Arabidopsis thaliana: one gene and its partner. The protein of the gene in region 2 interacts with the protein of the main gene of each other region in a pairwise test. Each region holds a gene or a part of one and is shown on either strand. Other genes may lie near its edges.

Evidence for each region. The genes of interacting proteins can lie anywhere in the genome.
Region 1: the proteins of BAG6 (region 2) and CAM3 interact in binary tests that used the Arabidopsis thaliana proteins (3 or more experiments, as listed by UniProt).

The regions. Positions count from the first base shown.
Region 1 is NC_003074.8:21,033,908-21,039,656, forward strand, and holds CAM3 (calmodulin 3), read right to left. Parts: upstream 2,260-5,749; 5' UTR 2,014-2,259; coding exon 1,938-2,013; intron 1,448-1,937; coding exon 1,074-1,447; 3' UTR 627-1,073; downstream 1-626. Other genes in the region: AT3G56790 (RNA splicing factor-like protein), read right to left, coding at 1-548; AT3G56810 (uncharacterized protein), read right to left, coding at 3,020-3,570, 4,573-5,020. UniProt on the Arabidopsis thaliana protein: Calmodulin mediates the control of a large number of enzymes, ion channels and other proteins by Ca(2+). Among the enzymes to be stimulated by the calmodulin-Ca(2+) complex are a number of protein kinases and phosphatases. Activates MPK8 in vitro.
Region 2 is NC_003071.7:18,982,907-18,992,490, forward strand, and holds BAG6 (BCL-2-associated athanogene 6), read left to right. Parts: upstream 1-3,226; 5' UTR 3,227-3,450; intron 3,451-3,644; 5' UTR 3,645-3,679; coding exon 3,680-5,611; intron 5,612-5,721; coding exon 5,722-6,921; 3' UTR 6,922-7,314; downstream 7,315-9,584. Other genes in the region: ABIL1 (ABI-1-like 1), read left to right, coding at 1-36, 128-227, 311-581, 650-702, 800-882, 1,013-1,168; AT2G46230 (PIN domain-like family protein), read right to left, coding at 1,553-1,566, 1,667-1,745, 1,836-1,892, 2,032-2,119, 2,208-2,280, 2,360-2,402, 2,555-2,660, 2,738-2,797 and 1 more; AT2G46250 (myosin heavy chain-like protein), read left to right, coding at 8,480-8,770, 9,065-9,181, 9,297-9,584. UniProt on the Arabidopsis thaliana protein: Co-chaperone that regulates diverse cellular pathways, such as programmed cell death and stress responses. Involved in plant basal resistance. Involved in basal heat response through the regulation of the heat induced small HSP (sHSP) transcriptional cascade.

The DNA.
Region 1 (5,749 bases), on a different chromosome or scaffold from region 2:
TTTTGTGGTTCAAACAACGCTTGTCTAATCATCTTCTGTTTCTCCTTTTCTTTTGCCACACGCCTTAGAGTTTGCAGTTTCTTCTCTTCCTTCTTTGTCAATTTAAAAGGTTGGGGAGGTTTAAGAATATTCTGAAAAACATCTTTCTTGTGTTTGTTGTTGTTAACCATCAATGTACTAAGATTAATCACATGCCCATACTCATCTATTTCTCTTCCAAGTACATCTACACGCAGAAAAAAGCCCTTGGTCTGTTTATGTGCAACAGCCGTATCTATTGCCAGCTCCTGAAATCGTTTAACAGCTTCAAGGATTTGACTAGAAGTAGTGTCCGATGCAATAGAACAAGTATACGGCCTTTTCTCAAACCTAGCTACATCTTCAAACCTAGAACTCTTGTTTGTCGTCCTAGCCGCCCCATTCTCTTCCTCTGATCTATCTTTCCTCTTACTTCCTTCGTGAGACCTCTCATGATGATGCTTAGTCCTATCTCTCTCATCACGATCGTCACGGATGCTCCTGGAATATCTCTGCTTCTTGTTATCCATGATGAGACAAATTTAGGGGAAGTATGAAACGAACGTGAACAAAGAAACACAAAGGTATTTTACCTATATTCACATCAATTGAATGATCCCAATTCAACCACGAATAGGAAACTTTATGCCGTTTTCCTTTTTCTTAAACGACCACGAATTGGAAACTTTTATGTCGGTTTCTATTTTTTTAATGATACACACCACACCACGTTTTGACCTTTTTAGTCATTGATAGGACCTAATTTGCATTTCACAAAACCATGATACAATGCTTTACTAGAGAGACACCATTAATAAAAAACCGCGAACTAGACCAAGGTTACAAATTACAGGAGCAAGACAACAAAAAAACAAGACTTTTGAAAATGTTCAGACGCAAAATAGAGCATAAAAGGGATAAAACATTCGCGTCTTAAACAAGCAGAAAACATACCTCGAGTCCCATGAATAAAAATTATAGAACATAACATAAGAATTTATATGTAAGAGATGCAAACCAAGTTTATAGAGCCATTGTTTGGTTCTAAAACAGCATCACTTAGCCATCATGACCTTAACAAACTCTTCGTAGTTAATCTGACCATCACCATCAACATCAGCTTCCTTGATCATCTCATCAACTTCTTCATCAGTAAGCTTCTCACCAAGGTTTGTCATCACATGGCGGAGCTCAGCTGCTGAGATGAAACCGTTCTGGTCCTTGTCGAAAACCCGGAATGCTTCCTTGAGCTCTTCCTCAGAGTCGGTGTCCTTCATCTTACGAGCCATAAGGTTCAAGAACTCTGGGAAATCAATGGTACCGTTACCATCAGCATCCACTTCGTTGATCATGTCTTGAAGCTCTGCTTCGGTTGGGTTTTGTCCAAGGGAACGCATCACAGTACCCAGCTCCTTGGTGGTAATGCAACCTACAAGCAAATCAAGAATTTGTTCATCATTCACTTCTCTGTAAATCTAATTCAATCAAATATCTTCAATTACGAAACTCAAAGCAGGTTTCTCTGTAGAGAAGCATTTTAGCTAGATCCCAAACTTCTCAATTAACAGTTTCTAGTCATTAACTTCTCAAATCTAAAGTGAGATAAAATAATTCAGATGGAAAATTAAATCCAAATCGATAACAAATTGGCAAATCTCCAAGTCATCAATCATCCAAATTTCGATTCAAATCCAATCCAGGAAACAAACGAACAAAAATTGAAAAACAAGGAACGAGTCTAGAGATCACGAATTACAGATCCGTTAATTATCTACATCGACACAGATCAATTGAATCAACAAGAAGAACAGAAATCAAATCAGTTATGGCTAGACACCAAGATCCAACAGTAGCAAAATCCTATGTATTCAAAAACATTTGAAATTGCGAGAGGGAGAGAGAAAAAAACAACAACGTACCATCACCATCCTTGTCGAATAAGCTGAAAGCTTCCTTAAACTCAGAGATCTGATCGTCGGTGAGCTGATCCGCCATTGTTTTTTTCTTCTCCTTTTCGTGAAACCTGTAGATTCAGAATTTTTTTGTTTTCTCTCAAAACGAGAAAGAAGAAGAAGAAGAGAAAATTAGAAAAAGTGTCTCTGCTGGAAAAAACGAGAGAGCAACCGTATTTATCGGGTACGAAGCTATTAACGACTTTTGCTCCGACCCGGGACTTTAAAAGCTTTTTTTTTTAACCCGTACCGGGTTTGGAAAAATCTCTGTTATAACCTCGGATTATGACTGTAATTGCGTTAATGCTATCATCAATGATTTCTTTTCTCTTATAAAACGCCAGAGTGGACAATTAAACGGATCACACGTTCACGCGGTCTGTACGCGGAGCGTTGACTTGACTGTCACGTCAGCATTCTCGCTGGGTCCTCGAGATCTCTCTCAGTACAGATGTCTGTTTATGATTGGCTTCGCTTTTGAATTTAAGTAGTCCTCCTCACCATTGAAAACAAATAATTAGTTTCTTTTATTGTTAACTTAAGTACAATATCACCTGCAAATTAATTAGATTAGATTTCGTTTTCAAACAATCAAAATCACTTCAAGATATAATTGATACGTCTAATCAATTTCTTAATAAATTCTATGATTAAATTATGTATATAAGGTAACTTAAGAAAGGTATATATAAAGAGAAAACGATCGAGTTTTAAAATATAGGATGAGTTATTAAAAAAAACATTAATATCTGTATCTAGATGAATATATTGTTTCTGATTTTGTTAATCATTCATTTATTTAAGGAAATCTATGTAGTACTAGTATATACATGAATTCATCAAATAGGGAAAGTTTTTATATTGAATGCAAATAGTGTATCATTCATTAAACCCTAAACAACCAATTGCACTCTATTGAAAGATATGTCTTAAATTCTGAATAAGCTAAGAAAATTATAAAATAATTTAAACAACAAGTGTCATAGGTGAAAATTGTCGCAACTATGACTTCCATAACCGTCACAACGAACCTAAAGATATCAATCGCATCAAAACACTAATCTTCTTCGACACGCGTCGAATGGGAGAGAGTTGCTGCTGCCACGTCGGATGTGTTGGCCTTTACCTCCTCCGCCGTAACAAACAGAAGAATCCACCGGCGATTGATAAAACTCGTCGTCGTCGTAGTCAGAGAAGGAGAGCTCTCGAACGGTCTCTGCGATCAAGTCGCGACAGATGTGATCATGAAGAGCCAAACCGATTTTAGCGACCTCTCTTCGTTGACCAGATGCCACGTCATCACAAACTTGGTTCACGCTCTCCATCAAGCTCCGTCTTACCCTCCGCACCACAAGGGGCAACGTGCCACATGACTCTGTCGTCGTCGTTGACGTTGATCTCTTGGAAATGACGTCATGAATGGAGTAATGATCGGGTCTAGTGATTAGATTTATATTGTTGACTTTGTAGGGTTTGTTGTCTTTGCAGCAATATTCGTGATGGTTCATCATCGACAACATCGTGTCTGTGTCTGGTTCGTGTTGTGTCGTCTTCGTGTTCTTCTGCGTGTGCGTCCCCACGACGACATCTCCTGCCAGTACTGTTGGTTGTTTGTTAAATAAGACGAAAATAATTTATCAGACAACTTGTGTGTTTAGTATATAAATTAGTACGTTGTCACACAAATATATATAAACTATTACTAGCGAATAATAAGACTCAGGCATACATGAAGTGCTTGTAGAATCATTTTTCTTTAAAAGTGGTGTTCTTGATTTGGTACCATAAAACAGTATGTGGGTCAGAATCAGGAATAAATCAAAGAATGGGTGGGGGTCCAAATGATGGGAAAAGTTAAAGTGGGCTTCATGACTAAAGGAATAAAGGCCCCTAAAAGCTGTTTCTTCCTTCATCATTTGTCTAACATGCCTCTTTCTCCTCACACTTTCTTTACTCTCTTCTCCACTTTAATTTGATCCTATCAGATTAGACTAAACCTCATTACATAATTAGCCCCACCGAAACTTAATTGGGGTCCATACTATATTGTCTTTATATAATTTTGAACACTATCCTCAATATGACAACAACTATATAATGATCCAATTGTTAGAGCAATTAGATGTGACATCAAAATCAAATAACACAGTTTATGCATGCATGAAATTGTTAGAGCAATAAGATGTCTTTATCAATATACTTTTATTTGTATATACCAAAATGATGAGCCTGTCTTCCACTATTGGACATACTCATGATTTCAACACCACCAAATTAAAGAGACAACTCTTTGGCCTTCCCATTCTATCTTCACTCTTTATTGCTACTTTAGTTGACACAATGTTCACTTAAGTTTACTACTTTAATTTATTTATTTTGAACAACAAAAGATTAAAATACAAAATTCCCTGATAATGTGCTACAAATTACGGACCACATCAATTCTCCCACATTTTAATATGAATTTTTCTTTCTTGATTTTTGTTAAGTTATCAATAAATAAGAGAAGTTTTTATAAGTGAAAAAAAAAAAAGATGATTTCGACATGTTTGTATTAAACGTATAAGATGACCAAAACACTGACAAAAACGGAGAAACGTACCGGTGCCGGAGAATTTAAAATTCTCACGTGTGGTCGGCGGAGAAACCTCAAGTCTCTTGTGAAGAATGTAAGTGGTTTTGATGACGTCGATGGTTCTTCTTAGCTCCTCTAAGTCCCGATCACATTTCTCTAGTGCTCCGACTAGACTAACTCTCGCCGCATCTCCCTCTCCTTCATTGTGCGGAAGCGGTGGCGCAACGATTCCTCCGCCTTGTCCGTTTGATGAATCTTGCGGAGGAGAAGCGTAAACGACGGTTCTTTGTTCTCGCTTTTTAGATCCCAAGGTGATGGATTTGCGGCGGTTGAAGGTGGAGAGGAAGAGGTTGAAGAACCCGGGGAGGCAGCCGGAGGAGACGGCGGAGGAGTTTGAGTTTCTCCGTGGAGGATTATGGTTTTCCCGCCATGAAGATGAAGGAGAAAGCAAGTTCTCTCGTTTACTCTTCTTCATATTCCTCCTATCTGTTTTTGTTTTTCTCACCTCTTTCTTTTTCTCTCTATCTAAAACCTTAAATTCCCATTTAGTCAAAAGAAATTATTCATTTCAACGGTAAAATTATAATATTATACCCTTTTTGTGATTTAGGTCTCCATGCTTTATTTTTATTTTATTCTCCTTTTCACTTTTGTTTTACGTTTTTTTTTTTACTTTAAGGTTGGTCCATTTGCACATGGCAAATTCCAAAGCATTGACACTTTACTTATTAGCTATAGACATTATAATGTCATTTTTTGGCTAGACATTATAGTGTCTTTCATGTTTTGTTTCCTATTTTGAAGTTTAATTAGTGCTTACTGGCTTACAAAGTAAATTATCACTCAACTCTAGATAAACTTCAACTAGACCTTCGAATACAACATGATGGGGATTCCATTAACAAAATTAAGAACCCTAATCAAATACTAGGCATTTAGGAGTTTAGCACAAGGCTCTATGAGAAACAAAAGGGCATTATTAAGAGTGTTCTTTAAGATTCATGACCTTGTGCATGCTGGACAGAGAAAACTTTTAGAGCTTTTTTTATCAATCCTATAAGAATTAGATATTTTTTGTACGAGTAATTGTAATTGCATCATTAATGGCACTCTGTTTTGAGACCATAAATCATTTACACGTTTGAAGAAAACAATTTATGCTTTAATTTAACAATTTTCGGTAAGCAGAAAAACTAACACTGCT
Region 2 (9,584 bases):
TCAACTATGGAAATGAGAGCTTCTTGTGTTAGCCAGGTAACTAAACTCTCTCACACACTTCTCTATTTATTTATCTTACCTTTTCTAGGCAATCTCCCTTAAGGTTTGTGTATGTTCTTTTCATCAGCAACTGCTTACATGCCGGACATATATCGACAAAGAAGGTCTTAGACAGCAACAGCTATTAGCAGTTATCCCATTGCATCACAAGCATTACATTCTTCCCAGTAAGAGTTTTTCTTGTCCCTTGTTAAGATTCTGTTAGTTTACTAGTGAAATCTGATTTCTTTTTTCTCTCGACTGTTGTTAGATTCTGTTAACAAGCGGGTACACTTTAGTCCTCTCAGACGAACTGACACAAGACAGAATCATTACCAAGCTATATCCCGTCTTCAACCTTCAGGTGCAATGTCCTCATCTTTGAGCTTATTAGTTAATAATACAAGCAGTCAAATATCAAACAGTTTAAGTAATATGCTTGGTTTGACTCACTTAGATGCCCCTGCATCGAAATCACTCTCCTGGCATTTAGGCTCAGAGACCAAGTCTACCCTCAAAGGAACATCCACAGTTGCACCAAGGTGAGTTCACAAAAAGCTTTAGTACTGCTTCTCACGTTCTTGATAACTAATACATATTTACTGTGCAGCTCCAAAGATTCAAAAGCTTTCTCAAAGACATCTGGAGTGTTCCATCTCTTAGGTACGAGAAACAGGGAGTCGGGGAAGTATCAAACATAGCATTTCTTCTTAGACAACTCTTGCCAAGAGATTGATGATATACATTGAAACTCATGCAGGTGATGATGAAAACATAGCAAACAAGAAGCCTTTGGCTGGTTCTCAGGTCTCAGGTGTTCCTGCTGCATCCACTGCCCATAAGGTAAAAAAATTTAGAACACATGAAACTAATCTTTCATGAATCGGGCAGTTCATGTAGAAAAATGCAACTGGATTAGTAAGCTGTGTATTTGTAATCATGGTTTTGATGAGACAAGTTTGTGATTCAACAGGATTTGGAGGTTCCGAAACTTCTAACTGCACACAGGTCACTTGATAACAACCCGCGACGAGAGATCATTCAAGCTCCTGTCCGGACAAAGAGTGTTCTTTCTGCGTTCTTTGTTAAACAGAAAACTCCAAAGCTCAAAGCTGGCTATGTCTCGTGAAAACACCAACTCTTTGTACTGAGAAGGAAATTTCAATCTCATACCACGTTTCTTTTACCTTATATAATAACATGTTGATTTTCATGTAATTATCTTAATCACCACATCAACGTACGAAGTCCAGTAAGACATGATTTTGGTCTATCATTAACAAAACTGTGTAATAGATTAAGAATGTGTTTTTAGAATGTAAAAGCTTAATAAAGATTTCTGTTGAGTTATTAATTAACATTGTATCAAATTAACAACAGAGAAACCAACATAGAGAACAAAATGGCTCACAACATAGCCATTCCAACTCAGTTGATTCAGCGCGTAAACCGATACCAACTCAGGCTTGAGGCTTCAGGGCTTCATGGAATTCATAAGGTCTCTAATAAATTATCAGTACCTTGGAGCTGCACCAAAAAAAAACAGCCAAAGGTTACAAAAGCGAATTCACATAGTCTAATACCATAGTAGCAGTAGATTCAGATGTCTCAGCCGGAAGATACATACCTCCACCAAGTGTAGCTTCAGGCAACTTCTCTATTGAGTACTTGCGATTAGTCACATACATGATGGGCACACCAGGAATCTGCAAACAAACATAGAAAAAAGTTGATAATATCCAAAGACTTCAGCCATGGATATAAACAAGAGCACTGATACAACAAACTATCTTTACCTTTCGAATCCTTCGCTTTAAGTCTCTATCACATGTAGCCACTATGAAGCATTTATGCTGTATATTATGAGAAATGAATATTACAGAAACATACAAAAGATAAAATGTATACACCAAGAACCATGGGACCAGAGCATCGGTATATCATTTCAGAGTCTTGAATACAAAGTTCAACAAGCCGGGAACGATGTATTACCTGAGTAACTCTGTCAACGAGACAGTCATCAGCATATGTCCCTTTGTGTATACAAGGTAGTCTTTCGAAGTGAGGATCTTTCGCAATCCTACCAAATATTATAGTAAACCAATTACGAATCCACGAAACAAAACCATAAACAGAAAAGCCTTGTTCAAAAAGTCTAAAAGATTTACCTTAGAGCTACACGATACTTCTGACCTAACTTCTCTAACTCAGCCATGACACAATCCGTGATACAAGGAGTGCCTTCAAACCAGAAACAATTACAGGTGGTTAACAAGAGAGAGAACCTATATAGACCTATCAAAATCTTTAAGTAACTCACAATTTGCGTACAGACAGTCTCTCATTCCCTTCTCAAGATCGATCTATTAGATACACCAGAGCAAAATAAGTCAAAAAGGATTTCAAACAATGAGAGATTCCAATCAGGTTCACCAAGACTATAAACTCTACAAAGATCGATACACATTCTGATTATAGCTCTGTGATAGAGAAATGCAATTGAAGATGAACCGACCTTATTCTGGATAGAGAAGTTGATGAAGTTAGTATCCACCAAAACACGGTAAGGAGGAACCAATGTAGAGTTGTAAGAAAAGAAAAGCCCTGCAGGAACACTCGGTCTGATCCAAAAACAAATCAAACGAAACCCAAATAATTACAACTTGGCAACGAAAGCTAACAGTGGTAGGAAGCTTACACGTTTCTCGGAAGTTCCGTGAGGTCCTTCTTGTTTGGATTCAGAACCTCTTCCTTGTAACTATATAAATAAAAACAAAACTAAGAATCTCTTTAAAAAAGGATCAAATTTGAAGGAAGACGAATCGTTTACTCACTGCTTCAAAGCTTTGTGGCTAATCATCTTCTTCACGACAGCAAACTTTTGAGGTTTCTTTGCCTTTCCCATCTTCGAAGCAAAGAGTAACAAAAACCCTAGAACGACGCAGAGAGAAAGACTGGGAAGCTGAATATGCGAGGTCTGAATCGGCGGAGGCTGAGAAGTGGTTTTCGAATTGGGTATCAGAGACGGAGACTAACGCTCAATATACAGCCTAATTATAAGCCCAATAATAAAATAAATGGGCCTAATTTATATGGCCCATAAGCGAAGCGAGTTTCTTAAATCACGTGTTAGTAAAGGTTAAGAAACGAAGAGAAAATTCCAGATTTTTCAAAGTGATGCGAGAATGATCTGGAGAGCAGAAGAAATATCTTTTCCCTCTGAACGTTGTTGTTCGTCTTTCTATAAATCAAGAAATGTCTTTGGATTGTTCACTACCCATAGAAAAAGCTGCAATCATCTGAATCAGAAAGTAATTCGAAGAAGAAATCTGCTTTTTTTAATTGGTGGAGAGAGTGAGAGAGCTTCGCAGGAACTGAGTCATCGGAATTTACGGATCGTTTCTGTTTCGTGTAAGCTCCGTCATTTTCCCTTCTTAGTTTAATGAATAGCTTTGAGAATCTTGAGTTCATTGCTCTTAGTTTAATGAAGATGCGATTGATTTAGTTTGGCAGATTTTGGTGATTGTGGTAACGAAATAATTCTGAATGAACCAAATTCACATTGTATTTTTCTAATGATATATGGATTTGGGTATTTGCTGCAGTTTTACTGGAATTGGTTAAGTGATCTTGATTAAAGATGATGCCTGTGTACATGGATCCATCACAACCATGTCAAATGAGACCACAGGAATACTATTATCAAGGATTTGGTAATAACTCTCAGCATATGGCAATGGATGCTCCACCACCGTGTCATGGAAGCTGCGTTCACGGCAACTTTCCTGCTTACTGGCCTCCTTGTTATCCCCCACAAGTACCGTACCATCAATGCTGCATGAATCGTTCCGCTTTCCATCCTCCTCACGCGTCTTACGCTCCGTCTTGTTACGTTCATCCACCATTTCCAGTTGGTTATCAACCTTGGTTTGATGTTGAGAAGGATGTGCCTGGGAAGCATCACTGCGGGAAATGTTCTTCCCAGATGTGTGATTTGAAGAAAGACAGAGGCGTTGTGATTGAAGAGCATGAGCCTGAGATTGAGAAAGGAGAAGCTGTACTTCCAGTTCGTTCTACTAACTGCCCTTACCCAATTATATGGATTCCTCATGAGAATGCTAGGAATCAGGAATATAGAAGCTCTCTTGGGTTAGGGAAGCATAACCAGCCTCCTGCTGAAGTTAGAGCTCCTGACAATATGACGATTCAGAAAAGTTTTCCTGAATCTTGGCGTGGTTGTTTTCCATTTGATGAGAGCAGCATGAAGTCGTTGGTACAGAATCAAGACAGTAAAAAGGCGCAGAATGGGAAAACCGTGGAAGCCCCGTTTGATATCAGCAAATTCAAATCCTTATTGCAAGGTCAAGACATGAAGGAAGCGCAAATCCAGAAGAACAAGGAAGAGCTGGGACAGCTTACGTATCCTACTTCTTGGGTTCCATCTCGTCGGAAACGAGATGATGTTGAAGCTTCTGAGAGTAGTAATGAAGACAGGAAAAAGATGCAGAATGGGAAAACGGTGGAATACCCGTTTGATATCAGCATGATAAAATCCTTAATCCAGGGTCAAGATGTGAAGGAAGCGCAGAACCAGAAGAACAAGGAAGAGCCTGGACAGGTTCCGTATCCTATTTTTTGGATACCATCTTATGGGAAACGGAAAGATGTTGAAGCTTCTGAGAGTAAGGAGAGTAGTAATGAAGGGCGTAACTTGGAGTCTTGCCCCTCTGATCTCCACAGAAATGAAGGGCAGATAACTCAAGCAAAAGGCAAAGAAGGGAATTTTGAGTGCAATGTACTTTCAGATGCGGAGGAGAAGAGCTCTGTAATAAATATCCCAGTGGCGAACCATCTACAGGAACCAAGAAATATTCCAGTGAAACTATCAGAAAACCATCTGCCTAAACCAACGGAGCCAACCAAAAGGATTGCAAAGAATGAGCCAGTTAAGAGCACAAAAAAAGAGCAGTCTTCGTCATCATCAGAAGCATCCAAGTTGCCTCCGGTTTGTCTGCGTGTTGACCCATTACCGAAAGAGAGAAATGGTGGTTCCAAATCAGTAAGTCATCCTAAACGGATGGAAAAATCTAAGGAGACTAAGATCGCGGCTCCACTGTCCTCCAAGAAGGCTGAATCAAGGACTGTTCCTGAGGCTTGTAATGTAAAATGTGAAGACGCAAACGCAGAAATGAAGATGGCTGAGGGAAGCCTAAACGCATTAAGAACAGAAAAAGGATCAGTTGAGAGCAATTCTAATCTTCAAGAAGAATCAAACGGTGAGATTATTAAACCTTGTGAAGCTAAGGAGAATAGAGAACAGCCTGCAAAGAAGAGCTTTACAGAAGAGGAAGCTGCTAGAATTATCCAATCTATGTACCGTGGATATGACGTGAGAAGATGGGAGCCAATTAAGAAATTGAAGGAGATAGCCACTGTCCGTGAGCAGATGGGAGATGTTAAAAAGCGTATTGAGGCGCTAGAAGCTTCTACTGATCAGCACATTGAAGAGAAGGAGATTGTTGTTAATGGAGAACTGGTGATGAACCTTCTTTTGAAATTGGATGCTGTCGAGGTAATGCATGAAAGACTAATTTCATTGGTTGGCCGAGATAGTTTATCTCAGTATGTACTGCTGTGTAGGATTTTTGCTGACAGTTTCCTATACTGATGTTTATCTTCCAGGGATTGCATCCTAGTATAAGAGAGTTCAGGAAAGCTTTGGCCACAGAGCTCTCAAGCATTCAAGACAAGCTTGACTCCTTGAAAAATAGTTGCGCCAGTGCAGAGAAAGAGGCTGTAAAGGAACAAGTGGAAATTAAATCTCAGCCTAGTGACTCTCCAGTGAACTTGGAGCACTCCCAGCTCACAGAAGAGAACAAAATGGTATCTGACACGAATTTAGAGAAGGTACTTCGTCTGTCTCCCGAGGAACATCCTATGAGCGTCTTGAATAGAACAGATGAAAAACAGGCTGAATCGGCTGCTGAAACAGAAGAGGGATATGGATTGTTTGAAACCCTGGCAACGGATTCTAAGCAAGCTACTGAAAATGCAGCGGCTGCTTCCTCGACAACAATTCCAGAGAAAATTGGAGAGGTTGAGACTGTTGTTCCGGGTAATCCACCGTCAGCTGATGGAAACGGAATGACAGTGACCAACGTAGAGGAAAACAAAGCCATGGTGGTGGAAAGTTTGGAGGAGCCAATAAACGAATTGCCGCAAATGGTGGAAGAGACTGAAACAAACTCCATACGGGACCCGGAGAATGCTAGTGAAGTCTCTGAAGCCGAAACCAACTCATCAGAAAATGAAAACCGAAAAGGAGAAGATGATATTGTATTGCATTCAGAAAAAAATGTCGAGCTCTCAGAGCTACCTGTTGGAGTGATTGACGAGGAAACACAGCCTCTTTCGCAAGATCCATCGTCATCATATACTCGTGAAGGGAATATGACTGCAATGGACCCTAAAACAGCGAGCCAGGAGGAAACAGAAGTTGATCACTCACCCAACAACTCCAAAGGCATTGGCCAACAGACTTCTGAGCCACAAGATGAAAAAGAACAGTCTCCAGAGACCGAAGTCATTGTGAAAGAACAGCCTCTAGAGACAGAAGTTATTTTGAACGAACAGGCTCCGGAACCGGAAATCACTGAACCTGGGATATCAAAAGAAACCAAAAAGCTGATGGAGGAGAACCAGCGATTCAAGGAAACGATGGAGACGTTGGTTAAGGCAGGCAGAGAACAACTAGAAGTCATATCGAAATTAACCAGTCGGGTCAAAAGCCTTGAGAAGAAACTGTCACATAAGAAAAAGACACAGATCAGACGTCGTGCAAGCAAACCAATGTCCGTAAGTCCAACCGATGCCGTATTATGACCCCCATAAACATTGATATGTCTCAATTCCTCATATATTGTATCCATCTCCATCCTATTGAGTACAGAAAAGAGAACGAGAACTCAAAAATTGTCTTAACGAAAATCCAAATATTTGCCTCTCTGTTTTCTTCGACGTTCATGGATAACCTCCTTAAACGACCCATTCGCTCTGACAGATTCGACTAAATTTTGTGTCAAGGCCCAATATATAACTATATAAGGCCCATACAATGATCAACCCATTAGTTATTTCAAATGTTTTTATTATTTATTTCAAATTTTTGCTATAGGTGTAAATTTCATGTATTATTACTTTAATTACATTTAAAATTTGTATCTTTCAAATTTGTTATGGGAGAAAGAAAGAGAATGATTGTGTGGTTTGTGCGGACATAGTGATCCTTTTCATGCCATAACTCACTCTTCGTTTTCTTCTTTCTCATCGTCACGTTAGGTTGTCTCTGAGCCGCCAAATATTCATCTCTTGTGGTCCCGTTCACGTCCCAACGCCATTTACACTCATCTCCGTAACCTCTCTCTTATGTGCTTTCTCATTACAAACAACTAAAATTCTCAAAGATTAACATGTGCAAGAGAAATAACAAGTAATGATATGATCTCATTCTCACCTAATCTATGGTTGAAAAAAAGGAAATGGTGTCAGTATTAGTCATAATAAAGCCTTGGAGTTGTAGACTATAGCATGAAAGGACCAGGAATCTTCAAGCATGGTTATTTTCTGATACGAATGATTTATATTTTAATCGTTTATTAACACCCATTTAACCTCATAATGACTCTATTAGCCTACTCTCAATCCCCAAATTTACTAGCATAATTAACTAATTCAAGGGATTATCTTCACCCACTTGTGTGCATCCATCAAAAGTTAATTTCTTATCTTAGAAATACATTTCATCTAAACCAAACAAATGATATACACTCTCATTTCTATTCATTAGTGTCATTTCTACAATTGTAGCAGTATGTTAACTACTGTAACTATTGTGATCCAAATATACAGTAAAAGGTTGCACCTCTACTGTAACTATTTTAACAAGTTCGCAAAATGTACATAGGAGAAATAGGTTGATTTCCATGGAGAAAAGAAAATAGTAAAAGGTGAAAAAGGTTCACTCACACGCATCCTCTGTCTCTGAGAGATATATTTCCCCTTGCAGTAAATAAAAATCTATGGCTTTGTTGGGAAGAAGAAAAAGTCAGAGTAAACTCGTAATCTTTGTCGGGAGAGAGTAACAGGCTTTTGATGTTGTAACATTATACTACTATTGTTTTAAAAAGCAAAGAATTGTAGTAGTAAGAATTACAATCATACTTAACAACAAATCACGTTTTTCGGGTTTTTGTATAAATAAATGATAAAGCAAGATGGACAAATTTTAAGGATAAGCCATTAATAAGTGATCTGTGAATTTTTAAGGAAAAGACGAAAGAAACAGAGAGAGTCGAGACACAACTGTCTCCAAGAAGACAACCTTCCACAGCTTAAGGGAAACAGAGGTGGAAACAGAGGTGAAAACAGAGCGAGTAAAGAGATGGAGAGAGAGTGTGAAGAAGGAGAAATGGAGAAAAAGCTGAGACGAAGTTTCATGGGCTATACTAGGAGAGCTGGTCCTTCCACTCCTCCACCCACCTGGCGGCTCGAGTTTTCGCCGCCACGAGTCGGAGCGACCAAGGAGTTTTTGGCGAATTCGGAGGACTCTGTCCGGAAATTGTGTGCTGATTTGTGGGAAACTGAACAATTCCGGCAAAGAATTGAGCTGCGACGGTGTCGACGAAGGGATTCAGATGTGGAATCGCATTCCCGTAGCCCGCTTCACGATCATGTAAACAATTTTGGCGCTTTTGATTTGCTTGAATGTTTTTGACGGGTTTATGTAGGGTTTTAGTCTTCTTGTTTTGATAGGTCGTAAAGTTGTGATCTTTACGGTGAGGTTAGAGTATATTCGACCGGAAAAAATCTCATTTTTGCGCAAATTCCACCGAGAAAATCTCAAAGTATTGTTCTTTATGATGTGGTCTTTTGCTCGTCTATGCACAAATTTCATTGGACAAATCTCATGGTCGTAAAGTTGGCTCGTAAGTGTGTTTAGTATTTATATATGAGTTTTAATTTGCAGCCACCAAGCAGAGCTAGCTTGAGGAGGCAAATTGCAGCAACTGATGATTATAGAAATGGTGATCTGTTGCAACCTATCTCTCCTGCAAGTTGCAGCAGCAGCAGCAGTTCATTGCAGGTGAAGAAAACAAAGTTTTTTGCTCTTTGTTCACTCTTAAATTTAACCAAGGAATGCTTTTTAACAATCTTGTTTTGAGCTGGATTTGGTGTGTGTTGGCTTAATGTGCTTGTAGGTTGTGGTGCGTAAGCCAGCGTTTAGTCAGACAGGTTCTTCGGCGGTTAAGTCTGCAAGCTATGGTTTGGGTTCCTCTACAAAGCTTCTCAAGGTGCTAAACCGGATATGGAGTCTCGAAGAACAGAATACTGCTAATATGTCTTTGGTTAGAGCTTTAAAGATGGAGTTGGATGAATGTAGAGCCGAGATTAAGGAGGTTCAGCAACGGAAGAAGCTAAGCGATAGGCCACTGAGGAAGAAAAAAGAAGAAGAAGAGGTAAAAGATGTGTTTCGATCCATAAAGAGG